Saccharomyces cerevisiae S288C: one gene and its partners. The gene in region 2 interacts genetically with the main gene of each other region. Each region holds a gene or a part of one and is shown on either strand. Other genes may lie near its edges. The genes, in order: FIT3, CSI2, MDS3 and COS6.

Region 1 (4,292 bases), 750 kb from region 2:
TAACGGGGCTTCCAGAACGGCGGAAGCGAATTGAACGAGGACGGCAAACAAAAACACCCAAAATTTCATTACTTAGAATGACCCTCAAGAGCAGGGTGCAATTTATCAAGCGATCATTGAACTAACTAAGTTCATATCCTGTATAGGATTTAAAACAATGCACCCTAAGTTCAAATGCACCCCCCCTCGCCCCGCAGCGGACCCTTGAACAGAGAACTGTTTCGAGGTTCACCCAATTGGATCACTTGTATAATTTGTAATCGAGTTCGGATAAGATGTATACGAATCTAACTGGGTGCAGTATAATTAGCATTTTATATTACCTAGCAATATATGTATAAAACAGGAATGTGTGCGTGCTTCAGGCAGAATTTTACGGTCCTTGTAAAAAAGTCTATCATAAAGCCATCACAAAACAATAATAATGAAATTCTCAACTATTTTCGGAGCTACTACAGTTATGACTGCCGTCTCGGCAGCAGCTGTGTCGAGTGTAATGACCACTAAGACTATTACTGCTACTAACGGTAATAACGTTTACACTAAGGTCGTTACCGACACCGCTGACCCTATCATTAGTTACAGTACCACTAGAACTGTCGTTGTCAGTAATAGTGATGCTACTTACACAAAGGTTGTCACCGAAGGACCAGATACCACCTCTGAAAAGAGTACAACAAAGACACTTACTTTGACAAACGGTTCAGGTTCATCAACCAACCTTTACACCAAGACCGTCACTCAAGCCGTCGAATCATCTACATCCTCCTCATCCTCCTCATCCTCCTCCTCCTCTTCTGCCTCTTCTTCTGGTGCTGCTCCTGCTGCATTCCAAGGAGCAAGTGTCGGTGCATTGGCCCTTGGTTTGATTTCTTACCTATTATAAGCTCGGTTTCAAACCAGAAAAAAGCTATTAGTTATCGTGTATAGCATATTTATAACTTATCTATGAAAAGCTAATATAATTGTCTTTCTCCTTCAAAAGGCTAGTAAAAAGGACTTTTTTTCATTACGTTTCTCAGTGACTTCAATGTAGCAGTTTTTCGTTTCATCATCATCATCGTATTATTATTATTGTTATTATTATTATTATCATTACTTTTATTAATATTAACTATTTTTTTAGTATGATTTCGGGTATATTTATTTTAATTAGATACTTTTAACCGTTTCAAACAATTAAAGGAAGACCAACGAACTTGAAACAGTATATATACATACATACTTAATGTGTGTTATTAAAATTTTTTTATTCTAACATAACTTCGAAAAAAGGCCAAGCCGCAAGGTGCTTCATAAAAATCGGATATCCCGCATGATTATTCACATATCATTTACAATAACATGACGGCAGCAAGGGCAGCACCCATCAAACCAGTACCAGCGGTGATGGCATCAGCAGCACCGGTGTAACTAGATAATTCAGCGGTGCTAGAGGATGTAGCAGAGGAAGAAGTTTCAGCAGTGGTGGTTGCAGTGGTTGAAGCAGAAGAGGTAGCAGCTTCTGAGCTGGTAGAAGTACTACTTGGAGACCAGGTGTTGCTGCTGCCTTCACCAGTCCAGACAAAAGTAGCATCTTGGGTGACAGTCTTAGTGTAGACGTGACCGTTCTTGGTGGCAGTGATAGTGGTAGTGATACTAGAACCAGAACCTTCATCAGCAGAAGAAGTCTCAGCAGCAGAAGAAGTCTCAGCAGCAGAAGTGGTAGCGGCAGCAGAAGTGGTAGCGGCAGCAGAGGTTTCGGCGGCAGAAGTTTCGGCGGCAGAAGATTCAGCGGCAGAAGTGCTGCTGGCGTAAGAGTCTTCACCACCCCAAACAAAAGTAGCATCTTGGGTGACAGTCTTAGTGTAGACATGACCGTTCTTGGTGGCAGTGATGGTGGTGGTGATACTCTCAGCAAGAGCAGTAGCGGCAACAGCAGATAGAACCAAAGCGGAAGAGAATTTCATTTTAGGGATTATTGTTATTAGTTATTTTTAAGCGAGTGGAAGTACTTGTTTGTATCTGTTCGAACATTCATATTACCTCCTAATACTTCAAATAGTTCTTGGCTTAAATACCCCATAAATCAACTTTTACAAAAAAAAAAATAACAAATCTCGAACGATAATTGAACCCCATTTTTTTGCACCCTTTCCTAGAATGGCGGAACTCGGCTCTTGAGCCCTTAGATTGCTTTCCTTCACATACATCAAAAAATATGGGATAGCGGGGTGCGGAACAAACAGGGTGCAAAAAAAAATCTAGGACATAGGTAGGACTAAGAAGACTGTGGCATTACTACACAGCAATCATATTTTACCGCTTCCTCGTTTAATTGGATTTTTACTTTTCATTACATTAGCGATCATTAAAAAAGGAGCGTCAATTTTTTACTTGGCAAATGTGTAATGTAGCGTTTTCGGTATGTCACATCACCAATTTTGTCGCAGTTAATTTAATTCACCCAGATTTCGAATGCTTTTCGCTAGATTAGTGCTGCTGTTGGTGTATTTGGCACCAGGTTCTTTAGCAAAACCAGCATCAACTAAGAAAAGAACGCAATGGGACCAGATAGCAATTGATGCTTGTGCTAAAGAATTGGAATCACACAAATTTGACACGGATGTGAAGGGTCGGCACGCTACTCTTTGCACTTATGAACCAGCACTAGGGTCTTGGTTACATTGCGCGAAGGATGTTCTCGACAGTAGGAAGAAAAGTAAAAAAATATTCGAAAAAACGTTTAGCAAAATTAATCAGTATTGCCACGATTATCACAAAGATGAGGTCGTCAGCAATGAGGAGTATTATCGAATTTTTGCCAATGCATCCCTTTTCATCCGGCCTCTTGATGAGGTAAAGGAAAACATACGATATCCCGTCACTCCCAATAAAGCCTCTCTAGATAGGTGGGTATGGGCTTATTTTGGGCCCCTGGATAATATAGACAAAGGAAATGTTTATGGAGTGACGATTTGCTTATACTGGATAGGAGTTCTGTTTATTGCAGCTGTATATCACTTCTTGAACTTTTCTCGACTTAAACAAACGGTGTTCAAAAACAAGGTGTCTGCTTTCTTAAGAGGCCACTATGTTCTTCCAGCGCTTGTTCATAACCATGCTATGTCAGTGGGAAGGTGGTTTTTCATCGGTCTGGTCCCTACCAGGTTAGAGACCCTTGTCCTATTCGGTTACGTTTTGTTGCACGGGTTCTTGTTGAGTAGTTACAATTTTGACCATAATGAGTTGCTCAGTGATCGCAGAAGCCAAGTGCTTATCTTCCTTTCCGACAGGGCAGGGATCCTGGCATTCGCACATTTTCCTTTGATAGTTCTCTTTGGCGGTAAAAACAGCACAATGACTTGGCTCACAGGTATAAGATATACCGCATTCATTACTTACCACAAATGGTTAGGAAGATTCATGTTAGTAGACTGTACGATCCATGCAATAGGATACACCTACCATGCATACATAGAAAATTACTGGAAATACGTGAAGTATAGTGATCTATGGACATCCGGAAGACATGCCATGATCATTGTTGGAATACTTGTGTTTTTTTCGTTCTTCTTCTTTAGACGACATTATTACGAATTGTTTGTTATTACGCACATTATCTTAGCAATAGGATTTTTCCATGCGTGCTGGAAACATTGCTATAAACTTGGATGGGGTGAATGGATAATGGCGTGTGCACTGTTTTGGATTGCTGACCGTATTCTGCGGCTAATAAAGATTGCAATTTTTGGAATGCCATGGGCTAAATTGAAACTGTGTGGCGAGTCCATGATAGAAGTGAGAATCTCAAAAAGCTCCAAATGGTGGAAAGCAGAACCTGGCCAATATATATATCTGTACTTCTTAAGACCAAAAATATTCTGGCAATCACATCCATTCACGGTCATGGATTCTTTGGTTGAGGATGGTGAGTTGGTAGTTGTGATAACAGTGAAAAATGGGCTAACCAAAAAATTACAGGAATACCTTTTAGAGAGCGAAGGGTACACGGAAATGCGAGTACTAGCAGAAGGACCTTATGGACAAAGCACGCGAACACATTTGTTCGAAAGCCTCCTGTTTATTGCCGGAGGGGCGGGTGTTCCTGGACCTCTGTCGATGGCAATAAAGGCAGGTCGCCAGGTCAAAAGCAACGATTCTCATCAAATGATCAAATTTGTGTGGAGTGTACGTAACCTTGATCTCTTAGAAGTGTATCGCAAAGAGATAATGGTGCTAAAAGAGTTGAACATAGACACAAAAATTTACTTCACAGGAGAGCGAAAAGATGAATCGAACACGGAGGAGGG
Region 2 (3,766 bases):
ATAATAAGGCCCTCACAGACATTGATATTATTCAGGAAAGCGATGCTCAAGCCAATTGGGAGATATCCTCTTAAAAGAAATTTTTTTGGTTTGAGCGGTACCAATCACACTATTAGGGAACAGCGATATGTTTTGCGCAAGGCCATAAACGCCCCTCCAAGCACAGTCTACGCTGCAGTGTCAGAAGTTGCCCAATATAAGGAATTTATTCCTTATTGTGTTGATTCGTTTGTAGATAAACGAAATCCTGTGGATAACAAGCCTCTCATTGCGGGGCTTCGAGTTGGTTTCAAACAATACGATGAGGAATTTATATGCAATGTTACCTGTAAAGATACTGATCATACGTATACCGTTGTTGCAGAAACAATATCTCATAATTTGTTTCACCTTTTGATTTCGAAATGGACCATAATGCCTCACCCAAATAGACCAAATGCGGCCATGGTAGAACTTCTATTAAGATTTAAATTCAAATCTCGGATATATAACAGTGTCTCTCTAATATTTGCGAAAACTGTGACTGAATTGGTGATGAACGCATTTGCCAAAAGAGCATACCATTTAGTAAGATTAGCAATGCTAAAACCTTCTTCTAAAGAAGGCTCTCCGTGATATCTTCCGTATAATTTCAGATAACAAAGATCATGCCATCCAGGATAAGCGTATGCATGGTTAAATTTTTAGACTATAGAACAAGATTTTTCTGTATAGTTATGTTTATAGTATTTAAGCTTTCTAACAAGCTCCAGTAGGGGCGGAGGATACAAACAAATATATTTTGCTGCAAAATTTCCTGGTCTTCCGTCGCAATCAACAAGTTGATACGCAGATGCACCATTTTATTCATTGGCAAAGTACGATCAGTTTAGTGCTTGTATCTGTATGCGAAAAAAGAATGGTGTACTAAAAACAGCGCATGGTGATGGCGAGGAATTTACACGTATCCTCTCATTAATTGAAGTATTAGGTTTTCGAGTCGCACTTAGTGTAAATGAGGTGTAGAAAGGTGGGGACGCAATTATTCCTTACCGTCGAGCAGTTGATCCAGATGAACACTGGGAGGACGGTACTTCTTTACTTTACCCTGACTAACATTTGATTTTGGAGTAGAGCGGTCTTCAGAGTCGGGACTTAAATTGTATGATGTATAATTGAATGGATTAGTGCTGTCTGTAAACTTTCCCAGTATTTGGGTAGCACCAGGTTCCCTTGGAGTACTGGACAAGGAATCATATATAGCACTCTCATTGCTTTGAGACCATGTATTAGAGTTGTTGGCATCAGATTGCAGAATTTCGGTGGGTGAAATAAACATAGATGATCTGAAGTTATCGTTGGCATCTGTTTTATTGTTCAAAAGATTCAAAACAGAAGTGGATCCTAGAGTATACAAACTCATACGAGATGAGTTATTTTTCAGAACTTTTTCTGATATGTCACTGTCGTCAGAATGGGAAGATGTTTCACTTTCGTCGTCATTAATGTTTGTTTGGAAGTAGAAAGGATCGTGTTGGTATTGATTTTCTAGATTTCTCAGCTTATTTTCCTTTCTAGCACTTCGCCATGACTTTATATTCAATGCAATCCATGCACCCGTCAGTGATAGTAGAATTGCACCTAAACAGCCAGCAAATGCAATGAACACAGTACCGTTAGGATGATGAGCCTGATATAAGAATTTATTTCCGTCCGTAACCGGGATATAAACGCTGGAAGGTGTAATAGATGAAGTTGATATTACACTGTTGTTGCTCCATAAACTAGAGTTGGTGTATAAGCTTGTACTAGCGCTCGTGGTGATTTTGGGCATTTTAGTGCTTGAAGTGACATTATGACTTGACGAAACATCCTTACTGGTTACTGAGCTTTTGCCTAAGGACGTGGTTGTCTTGGCTGAAGAGCTGCCTTTACTAGAACTATCTGCTGCCTTTGTACTACTTGATAAAGAGGGCAAATTTGCAGCGGAGACAAGTTGAAATTCTTGTAGAGCAAACAAATGAAGTAGTAGTATCACTTTCCAAATGGAGATTTCTGGCAGTCTCATTGTGTCGTTACTAGTTTATGTTGACAATCTTTTCCCTATTAATAGTTAAAGACTTTCCTGTTTCACCGTAAAGCGTCCTTCTGCTGATGTGTTATTTGTAAAATAAAGCAAGCTAAGATGTACTACGTATCTCACATCCTTATATTGGAGGAAGCATGGATGCAAATCTTTTTCTTTTTCAGCAGACACTTTTAATAGAACGGAAGGCCCCATCTAGAACAGGAAATTATGATCTGAATTTGTTTGATTCAGCTTAGCATTTCGTGGCTTCTATTTCAATAGAGCGGTTCTTCCTTACAGACGGCGCTGTGTTGACGACTTTTCGTGTAATTCTTGTCTACGCTAATTACTTTTTTTTCGCGATCCTGCCACACTTACACGCAGAAAACGCGAAAACCGCCAAAATTTCGAAGGGCATACATGCGACAAGGGACGGATTCAAGCCGTGTCACTGAGCATGCATTCTTGCAAAGGTTCCAAGTATTTTTGCTTCCAAAACATCAAGAGATACGGACAATACGTTTCTTATATGCAGGTAACTAAGAAATAATAGGAGGGGTAAAGTAACTGTGGCATGATTACACTGCAGTATACTCTTTAAAAGTTTTAAATTATTTCTATATATGTGTATAAGATATCTTCCTAGTAACCCTAATGCGAACTTGATGCGTGAATGTATTTGCTTCTCCCCTATGCTGCGTTTCTTTGCGTTAAAACCTCCAATTTTCATCTACCGATTCTATGGCCCATTTGAATTTTTCTCTTAGGGTTTTTGTAAAAATCTTTTCAATCGGAACATCATACTTTTTGCAAAATACCACAGAAAGTCTAGGGTCTATATAATTGATTTTGGAAGTGCCCAGTGAAACCTGGGAGTTTTCCTCTTTATCTTTCAACTGAATGGAACTAGTTTGGATACGCTGTTCTAATTTCTCTACTTGTGCTTTTATTTTTTCGACTGAATTCCAACTTGATTTCAGTTCCACTTCACCGGTTTTCAATTCCTTTTCGAATTCTTGTTTCTTTTCGTCGACTTTCTCCAACCATTCCTTCAATTGACTTTCCGGCAATAATTCTTCCTTTTCAAATTTCCTCTTATCGTTCTCCCTAACAAATTTTCGCTGATATTTTTCAATTTCTCTATCAATAATTCTCTTGTGAATGGTGGCTTCATCTTCTTTCGTCAAATCGTCGATTTCTTCGAAATATTTTGGCTCTTTCTTTAAAAGATCCTTATCCAATTGTAAAATGGCCCTCTTGCAACGAATCTTTTGCCATTCCAACTCTTGTATTCTATTATTGGCCTTTTCCACTGTTTGTGCATGCCCCTTCGTGACAGTCCTTTGATGGTTACATAGGATGGCTACAGTTCTATTTGCTGCGTTGTACTTCAATATTTTCTCTGCGACAGATCCTTTATTTGGAATTAGATCCAGTTGATCTTGCATTGTTTTGGAAGCATTATATGTACGGAAAACTTTAGCAGTCAATCCCGGCATGTAGTTTTGTAGATATTTGTTCAGTATAGATGGATCTAGACGATCAAACAGTTGATGTCCTGGCTGTTTGGGCGGCCTTTTAAAAATTGTCAAATTTTTGAAAACTTGTTTGTCAACTTCTACCTCTTGATAAAATCTAATAGAATCCTTACCTAAGAAATCAAAGATAACAGTATTCGGAGGTTTCAAAGTAACATGCTCATATCGCAATGAACAACAA
Region 3 (8,136 bases), on a different chromosome or scaffold from region 2:
CACATAAAAGTGCTCTGGGGAAAAACGGACCACAGCATGTCCTGTGGTACTTGTTTCTTTCAAGTTTTTCGTATGTATTTCCCATTTTTTGATTCGCTACAACCTGTATTTGTTTTATGGCGCGCCTGGACCATATATATGTATATATTTATTTACATGTAATTGGCACAGGGAAAAACAGTGGAAGGATCAAGGTAAAAAGTATGAAACCGAGAATTATTCGCGACTTCAGGTTATCCAATCGTGTATGTAATCGTATGTAGGCAAAAGTAAATAGATATGAACTACATTTTCCTGCTTTACTTAGACTAGAGATGTGACCTCAAAGAATCTTCTCAAGTAGTATATCTGGAAAAGAGAGTTTGCAATAACGACGCCCAATTGGAAGATGGACCACCATTTAACACGATCGTTGGTCGACTCTGCAGTATTTCTATGCGTCCTTTCTCTAATAACAATATAACTTTGTTCGTCCTTGACTTCCCTGGTTAATTTGGACAACTTTCTGACAGCACTATCCAATGTATTGGTGTTTGGGTCGTCCAAATCCACATATACCACCCCATGAATGTTGAAAGTCACGTCTTTTGTCTCGATACCGGTGTTCTCGTTCAAGAAACAGTATTGGAAATGTCCCTTGTATGGAGCAGACAATGTGATTTCACCGTGCGACGTGTCCCTAACCGTTTTCAAAACTTCATGTCTTTCCGGCCCGTAGATGATAAAGTCACCAGTCAGCTGGCTACTGGATTGAGGGTTTCTATCACCGAACTGGAACGAAATGGAGAGCTCGTCACCCTTACTCAAGTCTTCGAAGAAGCATCTACGGCCATAAGCTGGAAGAAGGACATTATGGGCGGACGCCGAGAAGAACAGGAAGCAAGCAATGACAAACTTAGTAGCAAATGAGGCCATCCTTATGCGTGTGTATTTTTGTGCGGAGGGATACTATTAAGATTGCAGTTTCACCAAGTATAGCTTTTTATTTCATTATAAGTTTCGTGTCAAAATGTTTAAGCGACCCGATCTCTCAGGCTGTTTTGCACGACTTTTCTGACTTTCCTCGCGTCTTTTTTCATGAAAATTGGATTACCCGGAGTGATGATTTTCTCACAGTGATTTTTCGTCCCCTTTTACAATAGCAAATGAAGCTGTTTTAGCAATATTTGTAGAAAGATATGTCACAAGAGGGCAGGCAAAATGTCATACGGAAGAGAAGACACTACGATTGAGCCCGACTTCATAGAACCAGATGCACCTTTGGCTGCTTCCGGGGGTGTTGCTGACAACATAGGCGGAACTATGCAGAATTCAGGCAGCAGAGGGACGCTCGACGAGACTGTGCTGCAAACACTAAAGCGAGATGTGGTGGAGATTAATTCCAGACTGAAACAAGTGGTATACCCGCATTTCCCCTCATTCTTTAGCCCCTCTGATGACGGGATAGGGGCGGCTGATAACGACATTTCAGCCAATTGCGACCTGTGGGCGCCCCTTGCGTTTATCATATTGTATTCTCTATTTGTATCGCATGCGCGGTCGCTGTTCTCGAGCCTATTTGTGTCTAGTTGGTTCATTTTGCTGGTGATGGCATTGCATCTGAGACTCACCAAGCCACACCAGAGGGTGTCGCTGATTTCGTACATCTCCATTTCCGGGTATTGCTTATTCCCACAAGTGCTGAATGCCTTAGTCTCGCAGATACTACTTCCATTGGCCTACCATATTGGAAAGCAAAATCGCTGGATTGTGAGGGTCCTGTCGCTCGTGAAACTGGTGGTCATGGCGCTGTGCCTGATGTGGTCTGTGGCCGCCGTTTCGTGGGTTACCAAGAGCAAGACCATTATCGAGATATACCCTCTGGCACTCTGTCTTTTTGGCATGGCCTGGTTGTCAACTATTTTATAACACTAGTTACATATGTATAAAACCCAATATCATGGACATAGAATTGCCTATCTCGCGAGCCACGGCAGAAAGTTCTGAAAAAAAAAAAAAAGAGGACGCTCACAGGGGCTGGCGTGTGGCTAAGGCAGACTCCGTGGAGTGTAAGAGAAGTTCAAAGCAAGATTAGGCTTTCTGATGAATTGGTAGCGCAGAGTCTGGCAAAGTCTATTTCAAGTTCACAGCGTCCGTTTACCACAATTGTTTGAGAACTCTTCTCCTTCCTGTGCCTATAGCCACACTTGCAAACATTACATGGTGAAGGCGCTTTAGAGACTTTTCTGTTTTACTATATATATAAGATAACATAGCGCGCGTGCAAACCAAAGGACAAGTAACAATCTGCACCTGCTTTAGCGTAGTATGCCTTTATTACAACCATCCACTTGCTTCTGCTACCCTTTGAAGCTTCCGCCATTACCACTGACTTCCGATTCCAACGAGTTTGATGAATGCGCCAGGAAAAGGTTAACGCTGGACTATAGAACAGGTTCAGCGGTGACGCTAACAAGGTCTAATATATTTGTACATGGTGGTCTAACCATCCCGTTGAACCTGCCAGTTGTAAATTCTATGCAATTACAAAAGGAGCTTATTCTCTTTTTTGCAAAGGAAAAAAACAACGGTAGTTCTTTTAGGAATTTAAACGAGTGGATAAGTAAGGAGACGTTTTTCTTAGACTTGATGTCTAGAACCTGGTACAGAGTCAAGACCTCCTTTGACCAAAGGACAGAGGAATTATTAAAGGCAGAGAGTTCTAGCGCCAAAGCAGATAATGACACAAACGAGATTAGAACGGACATTAAGAAAGGTAAATCCCTTGAATCTCCGCTCAAGGAGAGGCTATTCCATTCCTTATGTTATTTAGATGGCTGTTTATATATATTTGGTGGTCTCACAGTGTCTCCTCAGAGCGGATATGAGTTGATTGCTACCAATGAGTTGTGGAAACTGGATTTAAACACGAAGAAGTGGTCGCTTTTGAGTGATGACCCTCAAATAGCGAGAAGGTTCAACCATACCATGCATGTAAAGAACGAAAATAACGATAATAGAGACACGAAATTAATAATTGTCGGAGGTCTTAATAACATGGATCAGCCGGTCAAGAAAATAGACATCTATAACATCTCACAGAATTGCTGGCAATCCGAAACCATACCCAAACAACCGATGGAAATCACTACAAATGTCAATGGCATACCATTAGCATTATCAAAGGATCAGAATTTTTCGATTTTAGTTGAAAATAATGAGGCCAACGTTCCAGCGCTGGCATTCTATATGAGAAGTGATCAAATAGACGAATATCTCGGAAAGGATTCATCAAAGATAAAGGAGAATTCGCCTATAGTGGCGTTGCCGCTATTGTCTGAATCGCAAGGTATTAGAATGCCCTCAAACCCGGCATTACCGAAAAAACTATTGAATGTTCCGTATGAGCTATTAGCACCGACAGGTGACTATTTTGGATTCAATATCATAATCGGTGGGTTTCATCCAAATTACCAATCCTCTAACTTTCATTGTTTTATATACGATATTAACTCCGGAAAGTGGTCACGAGTCGCTACCGCCTGCCCTGACTGCGATATCAATAAACATCGATTCTGGAGGGTATTTGTTTGGAAATCGCATCATCAGACGATTTTGTTGGGTACCAAGACTGATGATTATTATTCACCCAGTGTACAAAGATTCGACCATCTTTCCACTTTTGGATTACCGCTGGTAAATATTTTTAACAAGACGATCCAATTACCCCATCACAAGATCTCAGCTTCGTCTTTACCAATACCCATAGAAAATTTTGCGAAGCATAAGGATACTCCATTAAAAAAGGTGAGCTTCACTTCATCAGCTACCTCCCAATTTGAAAACTACATTAGATATATAGCTCCGCCCTTGGAAATGTCTTCTATCCAATCTGTGTTTCCACCGTATGCCATGGTTCTAGGTAAAGACGCTTTAGAGATTTACGGGAAGCCTCTTTCTGATTTTGAATTTATTACTAGTGAAGGTGACTCCATTGGTATACCATGCTATTTGCTGAGGAAAAGATGGGGCCGTTATTTCGACATGCTTTTATCCCAGAGTTATACAAAAGTTTGTGCTGATTATGAAACTACTGATACGCAATCTACACTAATAAAATTTTCACCACATTCATCTAGAAACAGTTCTAAAGCTGTGAGGCAAGAAGGTAGACTCTCTTCATCGGGTTCACTGGACAATTATTTCGAAAAAAACTTCCCAATCTTTGCGAGAACAAGTGTTTCCGAGGCCCAGAACACACAACCTCAGGTAGCGAATGCTGATGCGAAAGCTCCAAATACACCTAGTACGTCAGATGAACCAAGCTCTTCCTCCTCTTCCGATTTATACTCCACTCCTCATTACCAACGTAATAATGATGAAGAGGATGACGAGGACCCGGTTTCCCCGAAGCCTGTATCAAAATCAAACAGTATCTATAGACCCATTAGAAAGACAGAAAGTTCATCAACAACGAGTTCTTCAAACGGTATGATTTTCAGAGTACCTTTCAAGGAAAAAGCGGCTGTAACGTCAAACACTGAAGCCCTCTTGGAGTCAAACCTTTCACTTCAAGAATTGAGCCGAAGAAGATCATCACTTATGAGCATCCCGTCTGGTGAACTTCTAAGGTCCTCTATATCTGAAGCGGAACATCAACGTCGTGCATCTCATCCACTCACTTCATCACCGCTCTTTGAAGATAGTGGAACCCCTTGCGGCAAACAACTGCAACAACTGCAACAACATACTATACAAAATCCTCATAACCATTTGTCGCCCCGGAGGTTTTCAAGAAGTGCAAGAAGTTCAATTTCCTACGTGAGTTCTTCTTCCGATAGACGTGGAAATTCAATTTCTAGCAGGAGCACAAGCGATAGCTTTGGAACTCCACCAGTTTTGGGCGTTTTGAATGTACCATTACCTCCTCAAACAAGAGAACCTAATGAACCACCTCCACCATGTCCTGCAATGAGTACCGGCTCAAATACAAGGCGAAGCAACACCTTAACGGATTATATGCATTCTAACAAGGCTAGCCCGTTTTCTTCTCGTAGATCGTCGCATATCGGTAGACGTTCTAGTACACCGGAAACGGAAAACGCATTCTCTGCAACACCAAGAGCATCCTTAGATGGTCAAATGTTAGGAAAATCTTTGAAGGAAGGTTCTACATCACAGTACACACAGCCAAGGATGAACTCTTTCCCAAAGGCTAATGAAACCATACAAACACCCACATCATCAAACAATGAATGGAGCCGTCAATCCGTTACTTCAAATACAGATAGTTTTGACAGTTTGCAATCTAATTTTGCGTTAGAGTTGGAACCACTTTTAACACCGAGGTCACTTTATATGCCTTGGCCAACCTCCACAGTTCGAGCATTTGCGGAATTTTTTTACACTGGGCAAGTAAACAGTAAATGGCTTTTGGCACCAGTTGCTCTTGATTTATTAGTAATGGCCAAGATTTATGAAATACCATTACTGTATAAATTGATCCTTGAAGTTTTATATTCGATTCTGGCTAAAAAAGAAGAAAGTTTATCCTTAATATGTACTTCGTTAATGGAGACCTTTCGCACCAAAACTCTGAACTCCTATAAAGGTGATGAAGAAAAAACAAATACTTATTTGACTTCAAACGATAACTATCAGGAACTGTTGAAATTAAAAGTGTCGCTGGAGAATATCGACAATGGGTATTATGACCCAGATTTGTTACGCAAACAGTCAAGAGCACAGTCTTCAAGCACACAAGAAAGCAGTGGTAGTGCAAACGGCGAAAAAACTGCAACTGGCGCTGGCTCTCTGGAGACTTCTTCAACCAATGTCCCTACAGTATTTGCTGGCGGTCCCAGAGATAGCCACAATTCAGTAGGCTCCATTGGTTTTCCAAACAGTATGAATATACAAGGCTCAAGAAGATCGACATCAGGATTTTCTCCACGCGTTAAGATGAAATCGAGCTTAAGCAAGGAAATAGATCCCAAAACTTTTTATGAAGAGTACGAACCAAAAGAGGGCAAAAGTTTTGATGATAACGATGATCAACAAACCAACATCGGAAGTTTTAACCTTCATTTGTTTGATATGAATTATGGTTCCATCAGCAGCAGTAGCACTAACAGCATTAGTAGCAGTGATTTAGAAGAGAAAGAAGAACAAGAGCAACTTCAAGATTTATTGGAAATAGAAAGAGAAGATTCTGCTGAGATCTTAGACGCAAGATTCAGAAACAAAGAAGATGATAAAGTGACGAAGGATATATCAAATGACAAGAAACGCAATTACTTACCGCATGAAAAAAATAACTTGAAAGCCAAGGAAGGTAAGGAAACTAGAGACGTAAGGGAGGAGGAGGAAGAATTCGATTTTGGTTTGGGAATGCTTTCGCTCAATAAAATAAAAAGAGAAGCCAAGCATGTCGATAAGGTGGACGATTCTGTAGACCCTTTATTTAAATCATCTGCTTTCCCTCAAAGTCCCATTCGAGCATACGGGTCTACCACAAGAACTAGTTCGGCTTCTGGAAAGCCATTCAGGGACAATCGTTCATTTAATGCATTTTCTGTTTTGACATTAGAAAATATGGCGTCTGCAAATGCCCTACCTCCCGTTGATTATGTCATAAAATCAATATACAGAACCACTGTGTTAGTGAACGATATCAGACTAATGGTTCGTTGCATGGATTGCATTGAATTATCTAAAAATTTACGAGCGCTCAAGAAAAAAACTATGGAAGATATTTCGAAATTGAAAGGCATCTCTAAACCGTCACCATAGACCGCTACGTCCCAGGATAGTTACTCGCACATATAAAGTTCTTAATAATCCAAGAATATGCTGCTATACATCTCAAAACGGATTGCTTCCATATGGGCGCCACTTTTCTGTTTCTTTGCTATCAAAACAGTTGGCACCAAAAAGCTACTCATTGCAAAGGTTTATTGCTTATGAAATATTGCTTTGTGAACAGATTCAACCGAAATTACCCGGTGAATATGACTATGTAAGTTATTAGTATAGGTTGCATTTGCTGTATTCGTTGATAAGACAACATCTTGTATCATACTAGTTTCCGCACACTAGTATTTCGTCTACTATTGACTTTCTGATAAGGTTATCTGGTTCCTGTATTTGCAGTTTATCGAAGCGGGCAGACCAGGTCAGCTCAGGACAATTCAAATTCAGATAATGAGGCACAGACTAATCATAACACGAAAATTGAATACATCCCACGATATAGCATAACCAAATGTCGGAACATAACTAGCAATACAATTTTTACATCGGGCCGAATCCGTCGGAGAGTGATAAGACGGAGTTAAAATATCTCTCAAAACCATGGAACAACAATATGTGTACATATATAAAGCTTTTGAGTGAAAAGATTTCTTTCCACTATTTACTGTCAATTTTATTCAACACGAAAGGGAATTAAGTGCACATAAATACTTCATTTCTTGATAAGGAAGTATAATATTGCTCCTAAGAAGAGTTTGAAATGAGCGATGTTCTATCTCAATATAAAGGGTGCTCAGTCAGAGATTTACCCACACCCAATTTCGTTATTAATGAAGAAAAATTTGATAAGAATTGTACGACAATGTTGAACAACGTTGAAAAGCTCAGCCAGGAATGTGGCGTACCAATCAAATTTCGTGCACACGTAAAAACGCATAAGACAGCAAAGGGAACTTTGAAACAATTGGGCCACGGACTTCCATTGGCTAAACGCACTACAAGAGCCATATTAGTATCAACTTTGAAAGAAGCAGAAGAACTTCTTAATTATCAAGATAGACAATGTTCGGATTATATTGACGATATAACATATAGTTTACCCTGTTGCGTTCCAGAGTTTATTCCTCTTTTGAGCAATTTGTCAAGAAGGGTGAATAATTTTCAGGTTTTTGTTGATAACATTGAACACTTGGAGAATTTAAAGAATTTCGGTAGGCCTGCTTCCGGCAAGAAATGGTCGGTTTTTATCAAGGTTGATATGGGGACTAAGAGGGCAGGTCTTGCTTTCGACTCTCCAGAATTTTTGAGTCTTTTAAAAAAACTGACTTCCTCAGAAATTAAAGAAGTAATTGAGCCATATGGGTTTTATGCTCATGCCGGACACAGCTACTCTTCAACCTCGAT
Region 4 (4,840 bases), on a different chromosome or scaffold from region 2:
GCTTTTTCAAACTTACGCCTATCGGAAACTTTCATTTTATTTTTGTAAGTTTCGAAATTAACAATAGTATGTTGATTGTTATGCTTTTTGACAAGAAATCCATCAATATAAACAAAAGATTGTCCAGTTTCCGTCTTATCATCATCTAAGAATGTAATAATTAAGCTATTGAGAAGATGCAGAATCTGCGCTATGCAGGTGCAAATCTCTAGCAGCAGCAAAGTAAATTCAGTTAGTAAGAAATCTCACTAAGATAAGCGACTGTCTGTCCCCTTCAAGCACAACATAGAAAGCAGAAGGATGTCTCATTCATCGCTTGATTTCCGGCCTGCAAAAATAAAGTAGTCGGTACGTACGTTCGTTTTCAATTTCCATGGTGCACAGTATCTTAACTATCTGCTTAGTCGAGGAGAACCAGGATTCTGTTCGTTGCTCAGCCGCTTCGTGGATATTCTCTTGGATACTTTAAATATGGACCTACGCTTAGCCTGCGCTTAGCCTACAACTTCTTCCGCTCTCGAAAAGACCAATATAATAGAAAGTTATAAATTACATTTCCTTATTAGGTATACGACCTCGCGCTTCGAAGTAGAGGAGCCCTTTTTGGCGTACCTACATATGGCGCGTCAGACAGACAAACTTCCCCCAAAAATGTATTACCCCGCCGAATAAGAAAACAGACCCATTCACCCACGACGTATCAAGTTACTTCCTTGGTGCAATGTCCCACTATAAAAAAATTCCTTGACGCTAGATCGTTGGACTAAAATCTGCGTCACAATCGCCTAAACAGGAAATATTGCCTATTTTCGTACAAGGTTACTTCCTAGATGCTATATGTCCCTACGGCCTTGTCTAACACCATCCAGCATGCAATACAGTGACATATATATGATTTAACCTGTCTCTCAACTTACCCTCCATTACCCTACCTCCCCACAAGTTACCCTGTCTCATTCAACTATACCACACCCCAACCACCATCCATCTCTCTACTTACTACCACTCACCCACATCCACCACCTGTTACCCTCCAATTGCCCATATTCAACTCCACTACCACTTACCCTGCCATTACCCTACCATGCCCCATCTTGTTACTCACTATACTGTTGTTCTACCCAACATATTGAAATGTTAACAAATGATCGTAAATAATACACACATACTTACCCTGCCACTCTAATCCCACCACCACATGCCACACTCACCCTCACTTGTATACTGATACGGCATACGCACACGGATGCTACAGTATATACCATCTCAAGTTACCCTACTCTCACACTCCACTCCATGGCCCATTCTCACTAAATCAGTACTAGATGCACTCACATCATTATGCACGGCGCTTGCCTCAGCGTTCTATACCCTGTGCCATTTACCCATAAATCCCATGATTATCCACATTTTAATATCTATATCTCATTCGGCGGCCCCAAATATTGTATAAATGCCCTTAATACATATGTTGTACCACTTTTGCACCATATACTAACCACTCAATTTATATGCACTTATGTCAATATTACATAAAAATATCATCAAAATCACCTAAACATAAAAATATTCTACTTTTCAACAATAATACATAAACACACTCAATTGCGTATCTATACCACCATGACGTCATTAACTTAAATGTTCCTTAATATCGTCATACCATTATGATCTATTCAATATATTGTAATATAACTGCACTCTATAGTCATACAGATACTTTTACTTCACCCTATCTTCTCATACTATTGTCATAGAATCTCATACTGACACATGATTAAAACGAATAACTTTTACTATAAGGCCTGCCATCCGCGCTCTATCCTTTTGTTTGAAATATTTATATACAGAATCTCAAAACAAGCGGGAGAAGTAGTAATTACCCAGAGGTCATGCATGATCTTAGCACCACCGTACCTCTATGTTTTGCTTTGATCCGCTTTACAGTGACACCAAACATAAGGAGGGAAAATGGTATTGAAATGATGTTGAAAGGTTGTTCACATTCGCAAGTAAATTGGTTCTATGAATCTTCATGTAAGATACTCGTAGGACAGGCTCTTTCCTGTGTAAATATTTGTGACAGCTACATCTAATTTCTATTAGATATTTACACAGTTTTGTCACAGGCATTCCATGTGATAATGAAATTCTCGAGCCATATGGCGGTTGTTGTAAAAGTAGTGACATTGCTGGTCGCACCTTAAATGTAAACCAAAGTTACGGCACACTCTCACAGTACCCGCACTAAAGTTTTATAAAAGTACTATTACGATTATCGAGTGAGCTAGATAGAAAATCGGAAATGAAATGGATGCCCTTTTCGAATAGTAAAGTTTCTGTGCCTAAAATAGCTCAACATTGTTGCCCTTTTTCTATCCCGAGGTTACTGAGCCATTGCATGAACGCGCGCGCCTCGACGGCTTTTTTTTCTGCTATATAAAAGCGAAAAGCCAGAAGTTATTATTTTGAATAAAAAACCCCTCGAACTGCCATCTCACTACCGAAAATGAAAGAGAATGAACTTAAAAATGAGAAGAGTGTAGATGTATTATCCGTCAAACAGCTCGAATCCCAAAAGACTGTTCTACCTCAAGATCTTTTCAGAAGCAGCTTTACCTGGTTTTGTTATGAAATTTACAAGTCCTTAGTGTTTCGCATCTGGATGCTATTATGGCTACCACTTAGCGTCTGGTGGAAACTTTCCAACAATTGGATTTACCCGCTTATGGTTTCACTTCTTGTCCTGTTTTGGGGACCAGTATTTGTTCTTGTTATTTTTAGACTTTCTCGTAAACGTTCCTTATCGAAACAACTCACTCAGTTTTGCAAAGAGATTACTAAAAACACACCAAGTTCGGATCCTCATGATTGGGAAGTCGTTGCAGCAAATCTAAATTCGTACTTCTATGAAAATAAGGCTTGGAATACCAAGTACTTTTTTTTCAGTGCCATGAGCTGCCAAGAAGCATTCAGAACAACCCTTCTCGAACCCTTCTCTTTGAAAAAAGACGAAGCTGCCAAGGTTAAGTCATTTAAGGATTCCGTCCCTTACATTGAAGAAGCATTGGAAGTTTATTTTACAGAAGTTGAAAAACAATGGAAGTTGTTTAATTCTGAGAAATCATGGAGCCCTGTTGGCCTGGAAGATGCTAAACTTCCCAAGGAAGCTTACCGATTTAAGCTTACCTGGGTTCTCAAAAGGATTTTCAACCGGCGGTGTTTACCACTCTTCCTTTTTTATTTGCATAATGTCTTCATTTCACGAAATGATGGCACTATAGCACGTCCCTTGTTTCTTGTGGTGCTGTTTTTTATCATGACGAGAGATTTCCGGAATATGAGGATGATCGTTTTATCCGTGAAAATGGAACACAAGATGCAGTTTTTATCGACTATTATAAATGAGCAAGAAAGTGGTGCAAATGGATGGGACGAAATTGCAAAGAAAATGAATAGGTACTTGTTTGAGAAAAAAGTCTGGAAGAATGAAGAGTTTTTCTTTGACGGGATTGACTGTGAATGGTTTTTTAGCCACTTCTTCTACCGCGTTCTCTCTGCAAAGAAATCTATGCGGGCTCTATCATTGAATGTGGAACTATGGCCATATATTAAAGAAGCGCAATTATCCTGCAGTGAGGAGTCCTTAGCGTAAAGATAAATACAACTTTTTCAATTTATATATTTTGTAGTTTGTCAGCTGCGAATAACCAAAACGAGACTACTTTTTACCATTACAACCATTTTCTTTTTCCCTATTTCTCACTGGTTGACAGAAATCAGTGTGCCACCATCCTACCATATGCGCAAAACTTATTGTCTTTCTCCTCCCAGTGATGCTATATTCCATGCATATTCTGAACGATGGGTTGGTGCTTTTATCAAGCAAGGTTAATCACATGGCGTGGCTTGCTCCACGCATCAGTAGAAAACGCATACCGCAGCGGAATCCTTAAATAATAAGTGATTTTACTGTACATCGACTAGAATCGGACTCTTTCACAAATTACCCTTCTTATTTTCCACATTTATTGTTAATCAAGGGATATACAAAAGCTTATGAAAGCCTTTACCGAACACTAAATAGAAACCCTCCTGCCACGAAAAACTTCAAGATCGATAACTTTAATCTTAAAAATTTGACACATTTGAAGGCGACGACTCCGGGCCGATCGATGCCCTGAAAAAAAAAAAAAAAATAAAGGCGACCTCGTTTAAGGTGAATATGGAAGAAAATGGTTATATAATTGCTTGAACATTTGTCGTTATATATTAACAATAGCATCAACCGGTTTACTAGCAAGTGATCCTAAAATATGATTTTTTCAACATAGATATTGATGACCCATGTCGTTGAAGTGGACACACATCGAAGAATACCACAAAAGGAAGAGAGGATTCTTGTCCTTGCTCCGCCAAGTTGTTCATAAATATCACGATTGACCAGTAGTAACAATATTAATATACACTTACATATAATGAACTATTTATACTATCAAAAAAAAAAAGCTTTTTTTATTTTCGTTATTTCTTAAGGTTTATGGAATTTCGTTCGTAAAGGCGTTTGTCTCTAGTTTGCGATAGTGTAGATACCGTCCTTGGATAGAGCACTGGAGATGGCTGGCTTTAATCTGCTGGAGTACCATGGAACACCGGTGATCATTCTGGTCACTTGGTCTGGGGCAATACCAGTCAACATGGTGGTGAAGTCACCGTAGTTGAAAACGGCTTCAGCGATTTCAACTGGGTAGGTTTCAGTTGGATGAGCGGCTTGGAAAGAGTAGTATTGGGCCAAGTGAGCTCTGATATCAGAGACGTAGACACCCAATTCAACCAAGTT

What was found.
Region 1: mutations in CSI2 (region 2) and FIT3 together harm fitness more than expected from each alone (negative genetic interaction), as found in Saccharomyces cerevisiae (one large-scale study listed by BioGRID).
Region 3: mutations in CSI2 (region 2) and MDS3 together harm fitness more than expected from each alone (negative genetic interaction), as found in Saccharomyces cerevisiae (one large-scale study listed by BioGRID).
Region 4: mutations in CSI2 (region 2) and COS6 together harm fitness more than expected from each alone (negative genetic interaction), as found in Saccharomyces cerevisiae (one large-scale study listed by BioGRID).

The regions. Positions count from the first base shown.
Region 1 is NC_001147.6:1,059,107-1,063,398, forward strand, and holds FIT3 (Fit3p), read right to left. Parts: upstream 1,950-4,292; coding exon 1,335-1,949; downstream 1-1,334. Other genes in the region: FIT2 (Fit2p), read left to right, coding at 425-886; FRE5 (putative ferric-chelate reductase), read left to right, coding at 2,458-4,292. UniProt on the Saccharomyces cerevisiae protein: Involved in the uptake of non-siderophore and siderophore sources of iron. Has a role in the retention of iron in the cell wall and periplasmic space.
Region 2 is NC_001147.6:310,321-314,086, forward strand, and holds CSI2 (Csi2p), read right to left. Parts: upstream 2,048-3,766; coding exon 1,022-2,047; downstream 1-1,021. Other genes in the region: ubiquinone-binding protein COQ10, read left to right, coding at 1-615; TOP1 (DNA topoisomerase 1), read right to left, coding at 2,758-3,766. UniProt on the Saccharomyces cerevisiae protein: Appears to be a structural component of the chitin synthase 3 complex.
Region 3 is NC_001139.9:122,391-130,526, forward strand, and holds MDS3 (Mds3p), read left to right. Parts: upstream 1-2,307; coding exon 2,308-6,771; downstream 6,772-8,136. Other genes in the region: EMP24 (Emp24p), read right to left, coding at 304-915; YIP4 (Yip4p), read left to right, coding at 1,201-1,908; D-serine ammonia-lyase DSD1, read left to right, coding at 7,493-8,136.
Region 4 is NC_001139.9:1,080,399-1,085,238, reverse strand, and holds COS6 (Cos6p), read left to right. Parts: upstream 1-2,509; coding exon 2,510-3,655; downstream 3,656-4,840. Other genes in the region: YRF1-3 (Y' element ATP-dependent helicase protein 1 copy 3), read right to left, coding at 1-208, 357-375; seripauperin PAU12, read right to left, coding at 4,571-4,840.